Macaca fascicularis: one gene and its partners. Each later gene encodes a partner of the first gene's protein in a complex. Links are inferred from orthologs where the notes say so. Each region holds a gene or a part of one and is shown in the gene's direction. Other genes may lie near its edges.

Region 1 (5,175 bases):
CTTTTTTATATCTAAAATATTTGAGATATAATGGCTTTTTAAAGTAATGCTTCTGTTTCTTTTGCCAAGTTGAACTTTCTAAAAGAGTTTTTATTTTTAAAACACAAATAGAATGATTTAAATAGGATTTTAATGAATTTTTGATAAGTGGCTGTTTTAATTTTTAAATTGAGAAGTAATATGTGGAAAATGAAAATATATGCAAATGTATTACAAGGTACATAAACACATAAATATATAAACTGCTTTATAGGTTTCAAAATGTATTTTTATATATTACCTTATTTGATCTTAACAACTGTTGTATAAGTTTGTCAAATCATATAAGAAAACTGATTCTCAGTGAAATTTTGCGATTAAGAGGACATGCTAGTACTTTATAAAGCTGGGACCAGAACCCAAGTACTGGTACTTGCTTTGTGTCCTGGTTACTATGTATGTTGCCAGCTAGTGGAAGTAACCTACCAATTATTTTTTCTAGGAGATAGGATTGATTTGCAACTGATTTTCCTTTTGCTTGGTGATGTTTTATGACTCTGCTGCAGTTTGTGGAAATGCTGGACTTGGCTCAGTGCTATAAATTGTAGTCAGGGAAATAAGAGCTTACACAGAGTCGGGGGATCTTAACTAGACATGCTGTAACCAGTGGAGCTATTCAAGCATGCTACAAGTGAAGAGTGCAGAAATAGTGATGCCATCTTAGATTTTCCTATACCAGTATGATCTCTTTTTATCATATATGACATTAAGGCTACAGAAGTTTTGTACATTAATCTTAATTCATATTTATTAATTTCAAAGAAATATTGAAACGTCTTAAAATGGCATAAAGATAATGGAAAATAAGCTTTGTTTCAAGAAGGGCAGACTCACTAATTTTTTAGAAAACAATGCTTCTTAATGATATGCTATTATACTTACTAGGTACGTGCAAGCTTTGTATATAAATATTAAAATTTGTTACAGGCACATATATAGTTAAGAGAATTTTATTTTAATAAGATCATATTGTTTTTACTATATTTAAAGAAACTTTACTTCTGAAAGGAACATAATTTATCTAGGTCACTAGAATGTCATTGTATTTTTTGTTGGCTGCCACAGCTTGGGGAAAAATAGATAAAAATTAATGACTCTATTTGAATATTTTGTAATGCATTGTATATTTATTATATATATATCAACAGTAGTTCAAGGTGGCACTTAATTGCATCTTCATTAGGAAAAATAAAAAGCATAAAACACAATTTCTGGTTACTATGAATAAATGCCTAAATGTTAAGATATTACTACAGTCTGACACTTGAGTACTGTATTACTTACTATGTGAGCTCCGTGTTAATTTATGCACATTATTTAATCCTAATAACCGTTTGACTGTAGTTATTAGTCCCTATTAACAAATAAGAAAACGGAGAATCGGAGATACTGAAAAACGTGGTCCAGATTTTAGACCTTGGGAAAAAGTCACTTGAGCTAACTAGAGGTCCCAGAGCTAAAGGCTGGGCAGCCCAAATGATAGTCGCCAAAGTTTAATTCCGCTTAATTCCCTAAAAGGCTTAGAGTCAGCCTTTGGACCGCCTCGCTCTCTAGGTGGCTCAAAGTAATCGGAAGCTCGGGCCCTGAGTACCCCTAGCTCTCCCCGACCCGCGCAGGCGTTTTCTCCCGCCCCAGCCCCAGTTCGTTTCTCCCTCCTGCCCCGCCCCTGCTCAGAGTCCTTTGGTGCTTCCTTCATTCGCTTGCGACCCTGTCGCCTCGAATGACGTCAAGGCCGCGAGCGCTTTCATTGGTCCATTTCAATAGTCGCGGGATACTTGAACTGCAAGAACAGCCGCCGCTCCGGCGGGCTGCTCGCTACATCTCGGGGTGTCTTTGGCCCGCCACGCCCGGCCGTGCCTTCCTGCGCCTTTCGCAACCTCCTCGACCCTGCGTGGTCTCGAGCTGGGTGAGCGGGCGGGCGGGTAGGCTGGCCTGGGCTGCGACCGGCGGCTACGACTGTTCTTTGGCCGGGTGGGCTGGGCAGAGTGCACGCTGCTTGGCGCCGCAGGCTGATCCCGCCGTCCACTCCCGGGAGCAGTGATGTTGGGCAACTCCGCGCCGGGGCCTGCGACCCGCGAGGCGGGCTCAGCGCTACTAGCATTGCAGCAGACTGCGCTCCAAGAGGACCAGGAGAATATCAACCCGGAAAAGGCAGCGCCCGTCCAGCAACCGCGGACCCGGGCCGCGCTGGCGGTACTGAAGGCCGGGAACCCGCGGGGTCTAGCGCAGCAGCAGAGGCCGAAGACGCGACGGGTAAAGGGATGCGGGATGTCTGCAGGAGGGTGGGTCGAGCAGGGTTTGGCACTGGCTTAGCAGGCAGAGAAGAGTGGCGAGAAGGCATGTCCTGGGCTTTTGGAAGGGGGCCAGAGTCTGGAGTCCACTTGGTGCTGGTGTGTGGGATGCCACAATAGGAATTCTCCCATTATTAGCATCAGGACCCCGCCAACACTGTGTATGCTGCCTGTCTGCTCTCTATAGGTGGCATCTGCCTGTACATAATGGGGTCAAACCAAGCTCTAAAACGTGTAGTCTTCGCTCAGCTCCGCGCCTTTCTCTCCACTTTTAAACCCCAGGCACTACTGTAGGACTCTGACCCCCCTCCTCCTCATGGTTAAGAGATAACCTCTACTTTAGAAAAGGGTGTACGAAATAACTTTGCTTTTGGCAAATTCCGCCATTTTAGCCGGATTTGCTCTGTTGCTCCACCCTCGGGCGACAGTGGTGAACCAACACTTTTTTGCCATGTCTTTCCTAAACTTGTCATGTATTGACTTGCCACCCGACCCTTCTTGTGGCCCTGATTAGTTTTGCATAATTCCACCTAGTGTTATCTATTGATAGCCTTTGTGGGAATGCCTGTGACAAATGGGAACATCCCTTCTCTTTTGAATACTCAAACTATTGTTTGTCCCAGAAAGTTTAATTCCTGATAGAGTATTTGGGAGAAAAAGCAAAGGCCAACACCCATAAGAGAAAGAATGCAAAACTATTTAGTAGGCTCAAAGCCAGTTATTTATTTTTGTTTAGGTTGCACCCCTTAAGGATCTTCCTGTAAATGATGAGCATGTCACCGTTCCTCCTTGGAAAGCAAACAGTAAACAGCCTGCGTTCACCATTCATGTGGATGAAGCAGAAAAAGAGACTCAGAAGAAGCCAGCTGAATCTCAAAAAACGGAGCGTGAAGATGCCCTGGCTTTTAATTCAGCCATTAGTTTACCTGGACCCAGAAAACCATTGGTCCCTCTTGATTATCCAATGGATGGTAGTTTTGGTAAGTTTTAAGGAAAATCTATATGAATTTACGGTAATTATAATTATTAGATATTAATGATTTGCATTTTAAGATGTCTTATGTAGTCATTTTGATTACAGTGAGTTAGGTTTAATGTAACAAGGCTTAGAAAGGATGTGACTTATCTCAGATCTCACAGCTAACACTCGACCTGGTGATGTACAAAAGGATCCTAACCTAGTGCTCTTTCAGGTTCACTGCCAGTCACATCAGTCTAATTATAATTAGATCTTAAATGCTTATTTTAATCTGATCCCATAAATGTGTTCTTGGTTGGGAGAATAGATTTCAGTTTTATTTAACTCACTTATATATCACTTAGAGAGTGCTATTTGAAGATGCAGTCTTAAATATTGTGATTACATAACATCTCTTCCAGTTTTATAATTTTGTTTCTATAAAACCAGTCTGGATTATCATCTGATACCAGAAGGTGACACTTTTCCTCCTACAAGTAAACAGTTGTACCATGGCTGTTTACTCTTACCCATGTATTAAAGTAGCTGCTGCAAACAGCTCTTTGCAGTTTGTACTGTTTCTTTGCCCTAGGGATATCGAGTCACTGGACAGCTCACTAAATCCAGTCTCATTTTAGTTTTAGTTGTATAGATCGTGGGGAAGGAGGGGTGAGCAGGAAAAGTCCTTTGGAAATAATAATTTGTGTGTTTTTATCAAAATTTTGCAGAAAATGTTTAATCTCAAGGTGATCTTTGAAGCGAAAAGAATAATGGATGATACTCTTTGCTTCAAAAGATAATTTATACTACAAAAAATAAATTTATAGTGTTAATCCATTTGCCCATAACAAACCTAATTTCTTAATAACACTTGTTAATGGAGGCCATTTAACTGATTCTAGCTATCGCCTAATTGGGCTTTGTATATGTCAGACTCTGGGATCTGCAGTCTCTCTTAGGGCAAATCTTAGATATTATCTCAAAACTTGGATTTTAAATGTTCTGTCCTAACAGAACCACCATGCCATCTGCTCCTTTCTGTTGTGGAAGATGGATACTTTAAGATAATACCTGATTCTCGTTTTCCTGTTAGGGGCCTACTAATATGGTTTTCTTTCCCCCTTCATTAACTAAAATCATTCCAAAGCTATATGTACAGAGATACTGAGACTAAGGTAAAATATTCTACCTTTTTCGTCATGAGAAGCTCTTTTTAGTTTGATGAAATAAGTGCTTTGTTAATATGAAATTCCTTACAAGGGCAGTCATTTTTAGCTATTAAACTAAGTAGACAAACAATTAATTTAATCATATCTTTTTAATTGTCCCAGAGTCACCACATACTATGGACATGTCAATTGTATTAGAAGATGAAAAGCCAGTGAGTGTTAATGAAGTACCAGACTACCATGAGGATATTCACACATACCTTAGGGAAATGGAGGTAAAGGTTCTCTGAATCCAGTTTGTGTAATGTATTTGTTAAATGTGGCTAAATGAAATTGAGAGGATAATGTTTAAATTTTTAAACTAATGAATTATTCTAATGCTACAGTTAAGTTTATAGCATGTAGCCTCTCTTAATTGTAAAATAACCTAATTGCAATTTTAACACTACTAAATACTTTTCTCAATAGGTTAAATGTAAACCTAAAGTGGGTTACATGAAGAAACAGCCAGACATCACTAACAGTATGAGAGCTATCCTCGTGGACTGGTTAGTTGAAGTAGGAGAAGAATATAAACTACAGAATGAGACCCTGCATTTGGCTGTGAACTACATTGATAGGTTCCTTTCTTCCATGTCAGTGCTGAGAGGAAAGCTTCAGCTTGTGGGCACTGCTGCTATGCTGTTAGCCTCGTAAGTCTACCTTGGTTTGTTTAAAA
Region 2 (5,133 bases), on another chromosome or scaffold:
CCTCTGCTTTCTCCTTGTAACCGAGGTAGGTTGTTTACCATAACCACCCCTTAAACCTGGCTGTGCACACGTTACCATTTCAGGTTATTAAGGGCAATTCTTAGATGCCCATGTTATAAAAATATGAACAGTGAAGGTTGCTTCCTGAGTTCTGTTGTCCTACTAAGACATCAGAAATACCATCTAGTCCTTTTAAAATCTTCCATTGTGTCCAGGAGCGGTGGCTCACGCCTGTAATCCCAGCACTGTAGGAGGCTGAGGTGGGTGGATCACGAGGTCAGGAGTTTGAGATCAACCTGGCTACCATAGTGAAACCCCCTCTACTAAAAATACAAAAATTAGCCAGGCGTGGTGGCTCGTGCCTATAGTCCTGGCTACTCAGGAGGGTGAGGCAGGAGAATGGCTTGAACCCAGGAGGTGGAGCACTCCAGCATGAGTGACAGAATGAGATTCTGTCTCAGAAGAAGAAGAAAAAAAGCTTCCATTGTGTGGTAACTTTCTCCATTCCTGACAGCCCATTCTCTTCACTTTTGGAGTTTTCAGCTGCTAAAAAGCCTTCACAAAATGTACTCCACCATCTCTTCCTGTTTAGAATCTGAATCTGTCTAATCATCCCCCTATGATAACGTGGTCAAGAGTTTGATGTTCTGTCAGAGTTCAGAGTTAAAATTCTAGCTTTTCCACTTACTAGTTGTGTGACCTTGGGCAAGTTTTCTCAACTCCCCTCTACTGTAGTTCCCTCATTTGTAAAATGAAATAACACCAGCTTCGTGGGGGTGCTTGTGAAGATTAATAAGCTGATGTAGGTAAAATACTGAGCACAGTCCCTGGCATACACTTAAGCACTCAATATTGCCTCTCTTCATGAACTAGGTACCAATTAACTGATGATCGTAATATTGTTGCTTTCCTCTTTCTAGGCTTTATGGCTCTATTTTATTTGTTACTGAGAGGTAAAAGATAAATGTTTACCATCACCTAGAATTGGGTTCTGGCCTCGAAAGGAGCCTGAGGCTTAGATGAGTTATTGGCTTTGGAAGCTGGCCTCCAAATTACTGCGCTAATTTATATTTTTCATTAAAAACTCAGCTTGCCTCTTCTATATAGCTGTCTTCCCTGGCCCTGAAACCCTGGTGTTTCGCCATAAAAGATTTTAAAATTAAGGGGTCATGATTCTCTCCCCACGATGTGTGGATTAATGGTAAGAATGTGCACAGAACATAATATTCTTACGTTGAACGAAATAAAAGCAAAGATTTGGCTGTTTCTCATCTTTGAAGCACGAATCAAGAGATACTATGATGAAGCATAGTTTTTCTTTATATAGGTGTGTAGAACTTTACCAAAAAAATCACTAGTTCAGCCATCAGTAGATCTGGATCCTAGGCTTTTCGCTGTCACCAAGATGCTGTGACCTCTAACCTTGTATACAGGTTTGCTTTGTACCTTGCGAGGTTGAGCATTAGAGAATTAAGTAAAGTGCCTAGCATCATACCTGGTGCACAGAACCCAAAACGGTAGGTATCATGTAGCAGTTCTGAAAATCTAGCCCATCAGGATGATGCAAATGGGTGCGTTCGGCAGTGAGATGGGGAACCACATCTTGACACATCCAGTCGAAGGAAGAGCGCGGAAGTAGAGTCGCGCGGCAGCAAAGACTACGCCTCCCACCGTGCTTTGCGGCGGGGCCGGCCCGTCTTGCCCAGAATCGCCCTGCAGCGATCGCGCGTCTTTCCACCGAGGCCCCGGATGTAGAGTCCCTCCCACCCGTTCAGTGGTCATGGCCTCACAGTGACGCTAAGACTTGGGGCTCTCTCATTGGCTGTAACTCTTCTACTGGATTGGAAGCAAAAAAAGAGGCGGTGCACAAGGCGAACGGCGCCTGTGACTACAGCCAATCAGAAGCGAGGCCGGGCTTTGGCGGGAGGTGGGAACACTGTGGCCATTCGAATTTGGCGCGAGCGCGGCTGTATTTTGCTGCTGCCGGTGTGCAGTTTGTTCAGGGGCTTGTGGTGGTGAGTCCCTGAGCCTGCGTGTGAGAGACTTGAGAAGGATCCTGCACTGAGGAGGTGGGAAGGAGAGGATTGCTCGAGGAGGCCTGGGGTTTGTGAGGCAGCGGAGTTGCGTGAAGGCTGCGGGTTCCGGCGAGGCCCGAGGTAAAGTGAAGGTAAAAGAGCTGAGCTCGCTGGCGGTCTGAGGTCAGGATCAGGGAAAGGGCAGGTGCCCTCAGGGTAGTTATAGCAGTTGTGCGTGGTATGAAGGAGCTGAAAGTTGTAGGAAGGAAATATTCTGGGGTGCGTTGAGAGCTGCCTAGAATGAGGACTGAGTGCAGAGGCGGAGAGAACTGAGGGAAGACTGAACTGTAGTGTGAGGACTTGGGAGAGAAGAGACTAAATGTGGCGGATGCTGGGCTGAACTGGTGATAAAGACACCCCGCGTTCCTGGAGAGAGGGAATTAGAAGTTCTATATAAATCAATTCATGTAACTGTTTTTTTTTTTTTTTTTTTTTTTTTGAGACGGAGTCTCGCGCTGTCACCCAGGCTGGAGTGCAGTGGCCGGATCTCAGCTCACTGCAAGCTCCGCCTCCCGGGTTCACGCCATTCTCCTGCCTCAGCCTCCCTAGTAGCTGGGACTACAGGCGTCCGCCACCTCGCCCGGCTAGTTTTTTGTATTTTTTTTTTTAGTAGAGACGGGGTTTCACCATGTTAACCAGGATGGTCTCGATCTCCTGACCTCGTGATCCGCCCGTCTCGGCCTCCCAAAGTGCTGGGATTACAGGCTTGAGCCACCGCGCCCGGCCTGTTTTGTTTTTTTGAGACGGGGTCTCCCTCTCGTCGCCCAGGCTGGAATGCAGTGGCGCGATCTCCGCTCACTGACTGCAACCGCTCACTGACTGCAACCTCCGCCTCCCGGGTTCAAGCGATACTCCTGCCTCAGCCTCTCGAATAGCTGATACTAGAGGCGCCCGCCACCACGCCCGGCTAATTTTTTTTTTTGAGACGGAGTCTCGCCCTGTCGCCCAGGCTGGAGTGCAGTGGCACGATCTCGGCTCACTGCAAGCTCTGCCTCCTGGGTTCACGCCATTCTCCTGCCTCAGCCTCCCGAGTAGCTGGTACTACAGGCGCCCGCCACCACGCCCGGCTAATTTTTTGCATTTTTAGTAGAGAAGGGATTTCACCGTGTTAGCCAGGATGGTCTCGATCTCCTGACCTCGTGATCCACCCGCCTCGGCCTCCCAAAGTGCTGGGATTACAGGCGTGAGCCACCGCAGCCAGCCGTAATTTTTGTATTTTTACTAGAGACGGGGTTTCACCATGTTGGCCAGGCTGGTCTCGCTCGAACTCCTGACCTCAGGTGATTCGCCCGCCTCGGCCTCCCAAAGTGCTGGGATTACAGGCGTGAGCCACCACGCCCGGCCTATTTCAGGTAACTTCTTATTGCATCGCTCAGTTGGTTAAGAACTTGGGCTCTGGCGCCAGAATGCCTGGGGTTACATACCTGTTTTTCTGTGACTTTGGGCCACTGTTTATCTCAGTTTTCTCATGTGTAAAATAAAGGCTAATAGTAGTACCTACCTCTTTAAGATAGTTGTTAAACGAATTGGTACCTAAAGTGTTTATAACAGCGGCTTCCACGTAGTAGGTAGACAACAAATGTCAGTTGTTCTTGCATAGATTTGGATGTGAAGCAAAACTGAATGCTAAAATATTGTGATAACATAATTTACTTAAGAAATAAGTGTTAATCATCAGTATAAATTTATTTATTCTCTTCACTTTCACATATTGACTAGTTGTCCTGTTATTTTTTTTTAATCTAGCTGTGCTGCCATCATGCCTCAAACCCGATCCCAGGCACAGGCTACAATCAGTTTTCCAAAAAAGAAGCTGTCTCGGGCATTGAACAAAACTAAAAACTCAAGTGATGCCAAACCAGAACCGACAAATGTTCAAGCTGTAACCTGTTCTCCTCGTGTAAAAGCCCTGCCTCTCAGCCCCAGGAAACGTCTGGGTAAACCATCCATTATATCACTTTTTCACTAGCAGCTCGTGACCTTTCTTTTCTCAGTAAGATGTGTGTCCTTTGAAGGAGCTTTCTAAGTTCAGTTAAGACTTTTTTTTTTCTTTTTTTGAGACAGTCTTGCTCCATCTCCCATCCTGGAGTGCAATGGTGCGATCTCAGCTCCCTGCAACCTCTGCCTCCCAGGTTCAAGCGATTCTCCTGCCTCAGCCTCCCAAGTAGCTGGGATTACAGGCGCCCACCACCACGCCTGGCTAATTTTTTTTTTTTTTAGTAGAGACAGGGTTTCGCTATGTTGGCCAATCTGGTCTCTGACCTCCTGATCTCAGGTGATCCACCTGCCTCGGAGTGCTGGGATTACAGGCGTGAGCTACCGCTCCTGACCCTAAGACTACTCTTCATTTTAGTTATTTTCAGAATGGTTGCTAAGTGCTTACCAAACTCCAGAGTTAAGCCACTTACTGAGGTCACTTTCTGAACTACTTAATAGGTCTGATCTTCAATTCCTTAATACTGAACTTAGTTCTGTCAGTGTTTTAAGTTACCTTGTAGTTACACGGTATTATGAAATTTAACCTCAATATTTGTGAAATTAAAACAAAAAGGTGACATGCTGGATATTTTCCGTCCTTTAGAACAGTGGTTGGTAATTCTTTCTTGTTTTGGAACATTTGTTTTTAAATGGAGGGGTGATTTGGTTGTTTCTGGAGACAAGTTTGGTTGTTACAGCTGGGTGTTGCTACTGGCATAGTGGGTAGAGGCCAGGGATGCTGCTAAACATTACAATGCACAGGACAGCTCCTTGACAATGAAGAATCATTTGGTTCAAGATGTCAGTGGTGCCAACATTGAGAAAACCTGTTTCAAAACAGCCTTACAATTTCATCCTGGTAAAACCCGTTTGGTTTCTACTAAATGCAGTAGTCCTCACTTATCTATGGGGGATACATTCCAAGACCCCCAGTGGATGCCTGCAATTGAGGATAGTACCAAACCCTACGTATACTGTGTTTTTGATCTGATAACCAAGTCAGCTACTAAGTGACTAGTGGGTAGATAGCATATACAGTGTGGATATGCTGGCTGAAGGGATGATTCATGTCTCTGGTAGG
Region 3 (5,258 bases), on another chromosome or scaffold:
CTTCAGTCCAATAAATTGACAGCCTTAAAAGTAGCAAAAATAAAGAGGATGAGACCTCTTGCTTGATCCTAGGTGAATTCTTTTCTGTCAGTTAGGTAGGAGGTCCTGACTTGAAAACTAGTTCTGGGCACTGCCTCCTTTACTCTCCCTGGATATCATCCCTGTCCTTCTAGAGCCTATATTTTAGTTGAACTAGTGGATGGTGATACCAAAGGCTCATGACAGCTGCATTTAAATATCAGTGACCACAGGCCACATCAAGGAAACATCTGCAGGCAACCCAGGGCCTGGGAAGGAGCCATTTTGAGTCACTTGTAAGACAGCAGGACCTGCAGACTATAGCACAATCAAACCCAGATAAAACCCTGAACCAGTGAGAACCATTAGGAAGGAAAGGAACAGAAAATGAACCAACTTGAGTGTTACGAGACCTGCATCTAGTCCTGACTCTGGTACCAACCGAATGTATGTCCCTGGACAGGAAACCTCTCTGAGTCTCAATGTCCTCCGTGGTAAAGAGGAGAGGGTTAAACCACAGGGTCCCGAAGGTCCCTTCCAGCTGTCACATTCTGGAGTGTATGAGATGAGGTAGGCACACAAAGTGGACAAACAAGATGTGGCTAAGAAAACAAGCGACACATGAAGTTCATCTGTAGCATAGGTGCATAAGAAAACTTTGCTGCTGTTTAAGGTTAGAAAGGAAGGTTGGTTTCCAGTAAAATGCATTAACTTTGGCTCAAACCAAGATGATGGGTAGTGGGCATGGGGGTGGGGAGGCAGTTGAAGATCCACTGAGCTCTTGGGGCAGCCCTGCTCATCGTCCTACTTTACCTTCCACCACGGTGCTCAAGCCCACACTGAGAGAGAAATTTCCAGTTGCAAAAGGGAGAAGAGAAACGCTGGAATACTAGCATCGGACGTTAGGACATAGATGTGGTGGTTTTAAAAATCATTTCATCATCTGGAGTTTGACCCCGAGGGGAGTCTTTTCACTCTTCAGCCCTCTGAAAGCATTCACTAGCATCTGAATATTGTTCTGAGTTTGTTGGAGCAGTGAAATCTGGTGAGAGAGAAGGGTGGAGGAAGGAAGGAGCTGTTGTATTTGGCGGCTGGAGTCAGGTAGAGGAAACTGCTACAATCCCGGGAAAGAACAGAAAAGTAGAAAGAGAGGAGTTCCCACACGCAGCCAATGTCCATGGCCTTAACTGTGCTTGGGAAACAAGATCCTGGGCCAGGGGCGTACCCTCGTTTTTCAAAACTAAATGTGTCTGAGACAGCTACAAAGTGTATTAAGGGACTTGAGAGACTACTTGAGTTTTTTTTTAATCTTGAGTTCCTTTCTTATTTTCATTGAGGGAGAGCTTGAGTTCATGATAAGTGCCGCGTCTACTCCTGGCTAATTTCTGAAAGAAAGACGTTCGCCTTGGCTTCTTTCCTAGGCCCCCAGCCTCCCCAGGGATGGCACAAACTTCTGGGTTAAGGCTGAGCCAACCATTGCCCACCGCCTCCACCCACCCCCAGCTAAGGCACGCCGGCAGGGGGGGCGCCCAGCCCCCCAGCAAACGCTCCGCGGCCTCCCCCGCAGACCGCGAGGTGGGGGCCATCGGGGAGGGCCGAGCTGGGGGCAGCTCGCCACCCCGGCTCCAAGCGAGCTGCCGGCGATCTTCGCGGTCCTCTGGTCCAGGCCCCGGCTTCCCCCGCGAGGAGCGGGAGGGAGGTCGGGGCTTAGGCGCCTTTGCGCACCCGCCAGTGCAGCGCCGGGCCCCGAACCCCAGGCCCCGCCCCAGGTTCCCGGCCGTTTGGCTAGTTTGTTTGTCTTAATTTTAATTTCTCCGAGGCCAGCCAGAGCAGGTTTGTTGGCAGCACTACCCCTCCAGCAGTCACGCGACCAGCCAATCTCCCGGCGGCGCTCGGGGAGGCGGCGCGCTCGGGAACGCGGGGAGGCGGCGGAACCGAGCCGGGGCCACCTTAAGGCCGCGCTCGCCAGCCTCGGCGGGGCGGCTCCCGGCGCCGCAACCAATGGATCTCCTCCTCTGTTTAAATAGACTCGCCGTGTCAATCATTTTCTTCTTCGTCAGCCTCCCTTCCACCGCCATATTGGGCCACTAAAAAAAGGGGGCTCGTCTTTTCGGGGTGTTTTTCTCCCCCTCCCCTGTCCCCGCTTGCTCACGGTTCCGCGACTCCGACGCCGGCAAGGTTTGGAGAGCGGCTGGGTTTGCGGGACCTGCGGGCTTGTACCCGCCCGGACTCGGACGGGCTTTGCCACCCTCTCCGCTTGCCTGGACCCCTCCCCTCCCCGCCCTCTCGCTCGCCGGTCCATTTGATCAGCGGAGATTCTCGGCGGCCGTGCCGGGGCTTCCCCGCAGCCCCTGCGCGCTCCTAGAGTTCGGGCCGTGGCTTGTCCGGATCTGTGTCTTTTGGCTCCGAGGCCAGTCGCTGGGCTTCCGAGAGGGGTTCGGGCTGCGTAGGGGCGTTTTGTTTTGTTCGGTTTTGTTTTGTTTTGTTTTTTTGAGAGTGCGAGAGAGGCGGTCGTGCAGACCCGGGAGAAAGATGTCAAACGTGCGAGTGTCTAACGGGAGCCCTAGCCTAGAGCGGATGGACGCCAGGCAGGCGGAGCACCCCAAGCCTTCGGCCTGCAGGAACCTCTTCGGCCCGGTGGACCACGAAGAGTTAACCCGGGACTTGGAGAAGCACTGCAGAGACATGGAAGAAGCGAGCCAGCGCAAGTGGAATTTCGATTTTCAGAATCACAGACCCCTAGAGGGCAAGTACGAGTGGCAAGAGGTGGAGAAGGGCAGCTTGCCTGAGTTCTACTATAGACCCCCGCGGGCCCCCAAAGGCGCCTGCAAGGTGCCGGCGCAGGAGAGCCAGGATGTCAGCGGGAGCCGCCCGGCGGCGCCTTTAATTGGGGCTCCGGCTAACCCTGAGGACACGCATTTGGTAGACCCAAAGACTGATCCGTCGGACAGCCAGACCGGGTTAGCGGAGCAGTGCGCAGGAATAAGGAAGCGACCTGCAACCGACGGTAATGACCCCTTCCCAACCGACGGTAATGACCCCTTCCCAACCACAGAAAGTCTGTGTCTGGGGCCCCGCTTTGCCTGCTGGAGGGTGCTAACCTTAGCTTGCTTTTCGGCGTATTCTGATGTAGCTTTGGGAGAGCGAACTTTATTGGTCTTAGGTGTTCAGTGCTACCTGGCCCACTGCTTGTCTGTGACTTTTAAGTCAGAAACTGGAAATGGTAAGATCCGATAATTTCCCTAACTTAAGACATGGCCGTCCCTCCCACTAGCAACCCCTAGGTATGTGACAAAGTTGGGATGTTTATCAACGGTCCGCCTCCTGGCTAGGGAGAGAGCTCTGGGGCGGAGAATGCACTTTCTTCTTTTTGAAAACAACCTCATTTTGTGTCCTTAAAGGCTACTGAGGATGACGGATCCTGGATTGTGGGTGGAGGGAGTGGGTTTTTCGTCCCGCGACTATTGGGCCAACTTCTGCCAGCCATTGTTTTTTCTAATAAAGATTGTGTGTTCTTTTTAAAAATTTCCTCTGCTCTTAGATTCTTCCACTCAAAACAAAAGAGCCAACAGAACAGAAGAAAATGTTTCAGACGGTTCCCCAAATGCCGGTTCTGTGGAGCAGACACCCAAGAAGCCTGGCCTCAGAAGACGTCAAACGTAAACAGCTAGGTGGGTTGATCACTAAAGGAGCACGTACTGAAACCCGGGGCCATCAGACCTCACGATACCTGATCTTGCTGGTTGCTGGCAGATTACAATCTTTTGGGGTTTTGTTTTGTTTATACTTTCGTGAGGTCAAAAAAGTAGCAATGGGAAGGTTGGGGATACTGTAATTCTTCTATGCCTAGAGATACTTTCTCTTGAAACAGTAGACCAGAGCAACTACTTGTAACCAAGGCCCCATCGGGTAAGAAGGTCATTTCCCTGTGAGTCCCACTAAAATATGTTGGGAACAATAGGTTCTTCGCCCATCCGAACAAGAACTGGGGTACTCCCTCAGTCCCACTTCATGAGAATTCATTTCCCAGAGGTTCAGCTTGAGTCAGTAACAGATTTTGAGCCATACATGGAAAAATGGCAAGTACATTATTAAGTTTCAATTTTAAGGGGGAATGTTTGGTAGAAATTGCTCACCTTTGGTTATGCAAGGGATTAGAGATGTCAGTGGGTGGTATGTTGTGTTCTTTGACATTGTCATAAACTGTCACTTTCCTTGTTTGCTCCTAAGTTTGGAGAGAGAAGGAACCAGTATTTGCAAAAACCAAAATGGAAAGATAAAAAACATTACTAAAGTTTCTACAGAATTTCTGGTAACACTGAAGTTGCAAAGCAGAAGTTAAATTAACTCTCGTCAGTAAGCAATCCAGGAACACGTCAGCCAGTGTATGCTAATTGTGCCGTAACAGGGTGATTTGGATATTTGTAGGGGAAATGGGTAGTAAATATCAAGACTGGTGACCGCAGGTCAGCCCAGCACAAAGGAAGTGGAGATTTTTCCATGCACAAGAATCTGATCACTGTAAATAGCTAATTTGAATAATTCAGTCCCCAAATGTACATGGATTGGCTATTCATAATGATCGAACTACATATATTAATAGTTTGTTAGCTTCTTATAGACCAAGACTGACCTCTTTATTTTCTAAAGCACACACGTAGCTTAGCATATGAGGCGATCTTAATATTGATGTTAACTTTTTAAATCCTCATTTATAAAAAATTTTAAAACAACAGGGATTACGGTGGGATTCAGGTGTGTTGTGTCTTTAAATTGTATATGTGACTTTACATATCTTATATTTTTCAGAGCTTATACAAAACGGCACTATAGAACCTCTATTTTATAGCACCATGTGAAGTGGGAAAATCAGGTGAAAATTTCCCTGAAGCAACCTTAACACACGCAGCCCTTGTTGGTTTGTGACTTGTGGCCCAGCTTATCAGATGAGCCATGAGAATCGGACCTGGATTTTGATCTGGCCCCCGTTTTGACATGCAGAGAGGCATTTATAGCATTTAGTAATATTGCTAGTTCAAAGAATACTAGAAATATTAGTAAGAACCTATTCAAAAGTATTCATGAGTATTTTCTGCATATGAATAAGAAATTAGAATATTTTGAAAATGATGTTAATAAAATTTTCTTCTGGAAGGCCCTTATGATTTTTATTTCTAATCATTTTTCAAATTTAGAAAATTTAATCTGTCACAGGAGTAGAGAAAAAAAATTCTAAATTT

The links.
Region 2: the proteins of CCNA2 (region 1) and CDC6 are in contact, whole or in part, in a crystal structure (PDB 2CCH), measured with the Homo sapiens proteins. The link is inferred for Macaca fascicularis from reciprocal best matches to the Homo sapiens genes CCNA2 and CDC6. Residues at the interface, in NP_001228.2 of Homo sapiens: Met210, Ile213, Leu214, Trp217, Glu220, Val221, Glu224, Tyr225, Arg250, Leu253, Gln254, Glu277, Tyr280, Ile281, Thr282, Asp283, Thr285; in NP_001245.1 of Homo sapiens: His89, Thr90, Leu91, Lys92, Gly93, Arg94, Arg95, Leu96, Val97, Phe98, Asp99, Asn100.
Region 3: the proteins of CCNA2 (region 1) and CDKN1B are in contact, whole or in part, in a crystal structure (PDB 1JSU), measured with the Homo sapiens proteins. The link is inferred for Macaca fascicularis from reciprocal best matches to the Homo sapiens genes CCNA2 and CDKN1B. Residues at the interface, in NP_001228.2 of Homo sapiens: Met210, Ile213, Leu214, Asp216, Trp217, Glu220, Val221, Glu224, Met246, Arg250, Gly251, Lys252, Leu253, Gln254, Leu255, Tyr280, Ile281, Thr282, Asp283, Thr285, Tyr286, Thr287, Gln290, Arg293, Met294, His296, Leu297, Lys300; in NP_004055.1 of Homo sapiens: Lys25, Pro26, Ser27, Ala28, Cys29, Arg30, Asn31, Leu32, Phe33, Gly34, Val36, His38, Leu41, Thr42, Asp44, Leu45, Glu46, His48, Cys49, Asp51.

Annotation. Positions count from the first base shown.
Region 1 is NC_088379.1:126,897,192-126,902,366, reverse strand, and holds the start of CCNA2 (cyclin-A2), read left to right. Parts: upstream 1-1,841; 5' UTR 1,842-2,079; coding exon 2,080-2,292; intron 2,293-3,066; coding exon 3,067-3,310; intron 3,311-4,619; coding exon 4,620-4,732; intron 4,733-4,925; coding exon 4,926-5,149; intron 5,150-5,175. UniProt on the Homo sapiens protein: Cyclin which controls both the G1/S and the G2/M transition phases of the cell cycle. Functions through the formation of specific serine/threonine protein kinase holoenzyme complexes with the cyclin-dependent protein kinases CDK1 or CDK2.
Region 2 is NC_088390.1:61,371,709-61,376,841, forward strand, and holds the start of CDC6 (cell division control protein 6 homolog), read left to right. Parts: upstream 1-1,948; 5' UTR 1,949-2,167; intron 2,168-3,316; exon of another isoform or gene 3,317-3,427; intron 3,428-3,821; 5' UTR 3,822-3,834; coding exon 3,835-4,012; intron 4,013-5,133. UniProt on the Homo sapiens protein: Involved in the initiation of DNA replication. Also participates in checkpoint controls that ensure DNA replication is completed before mitosis is initiated.
Region 3 is NC_088385.1:15,479,141-15,484,398, forward strand, and holds the start of CDKN1B (cyclin-dependent kinase inhibitor 1B), read left to right. Parts: upstream 1-2,073; 5' UTR 2,074-2,550; coding exon 2,551-3,049; intron 3,050-3,559; coding exon 3,560-3,681; 3' UTR 3,682-3,689; intron 3,690-5,258. UniProt on the Homo sapiens protein: Important regulator of cell cycle progression. Inhibits the kinase activity of CDK2 bound to cyclin A, but has little inhibitory activity on CDK2 bound to SPDYA. Involved in G1 arrest. Potent inhibitor of cyclin E- and cyclin A-CDK2 complexes.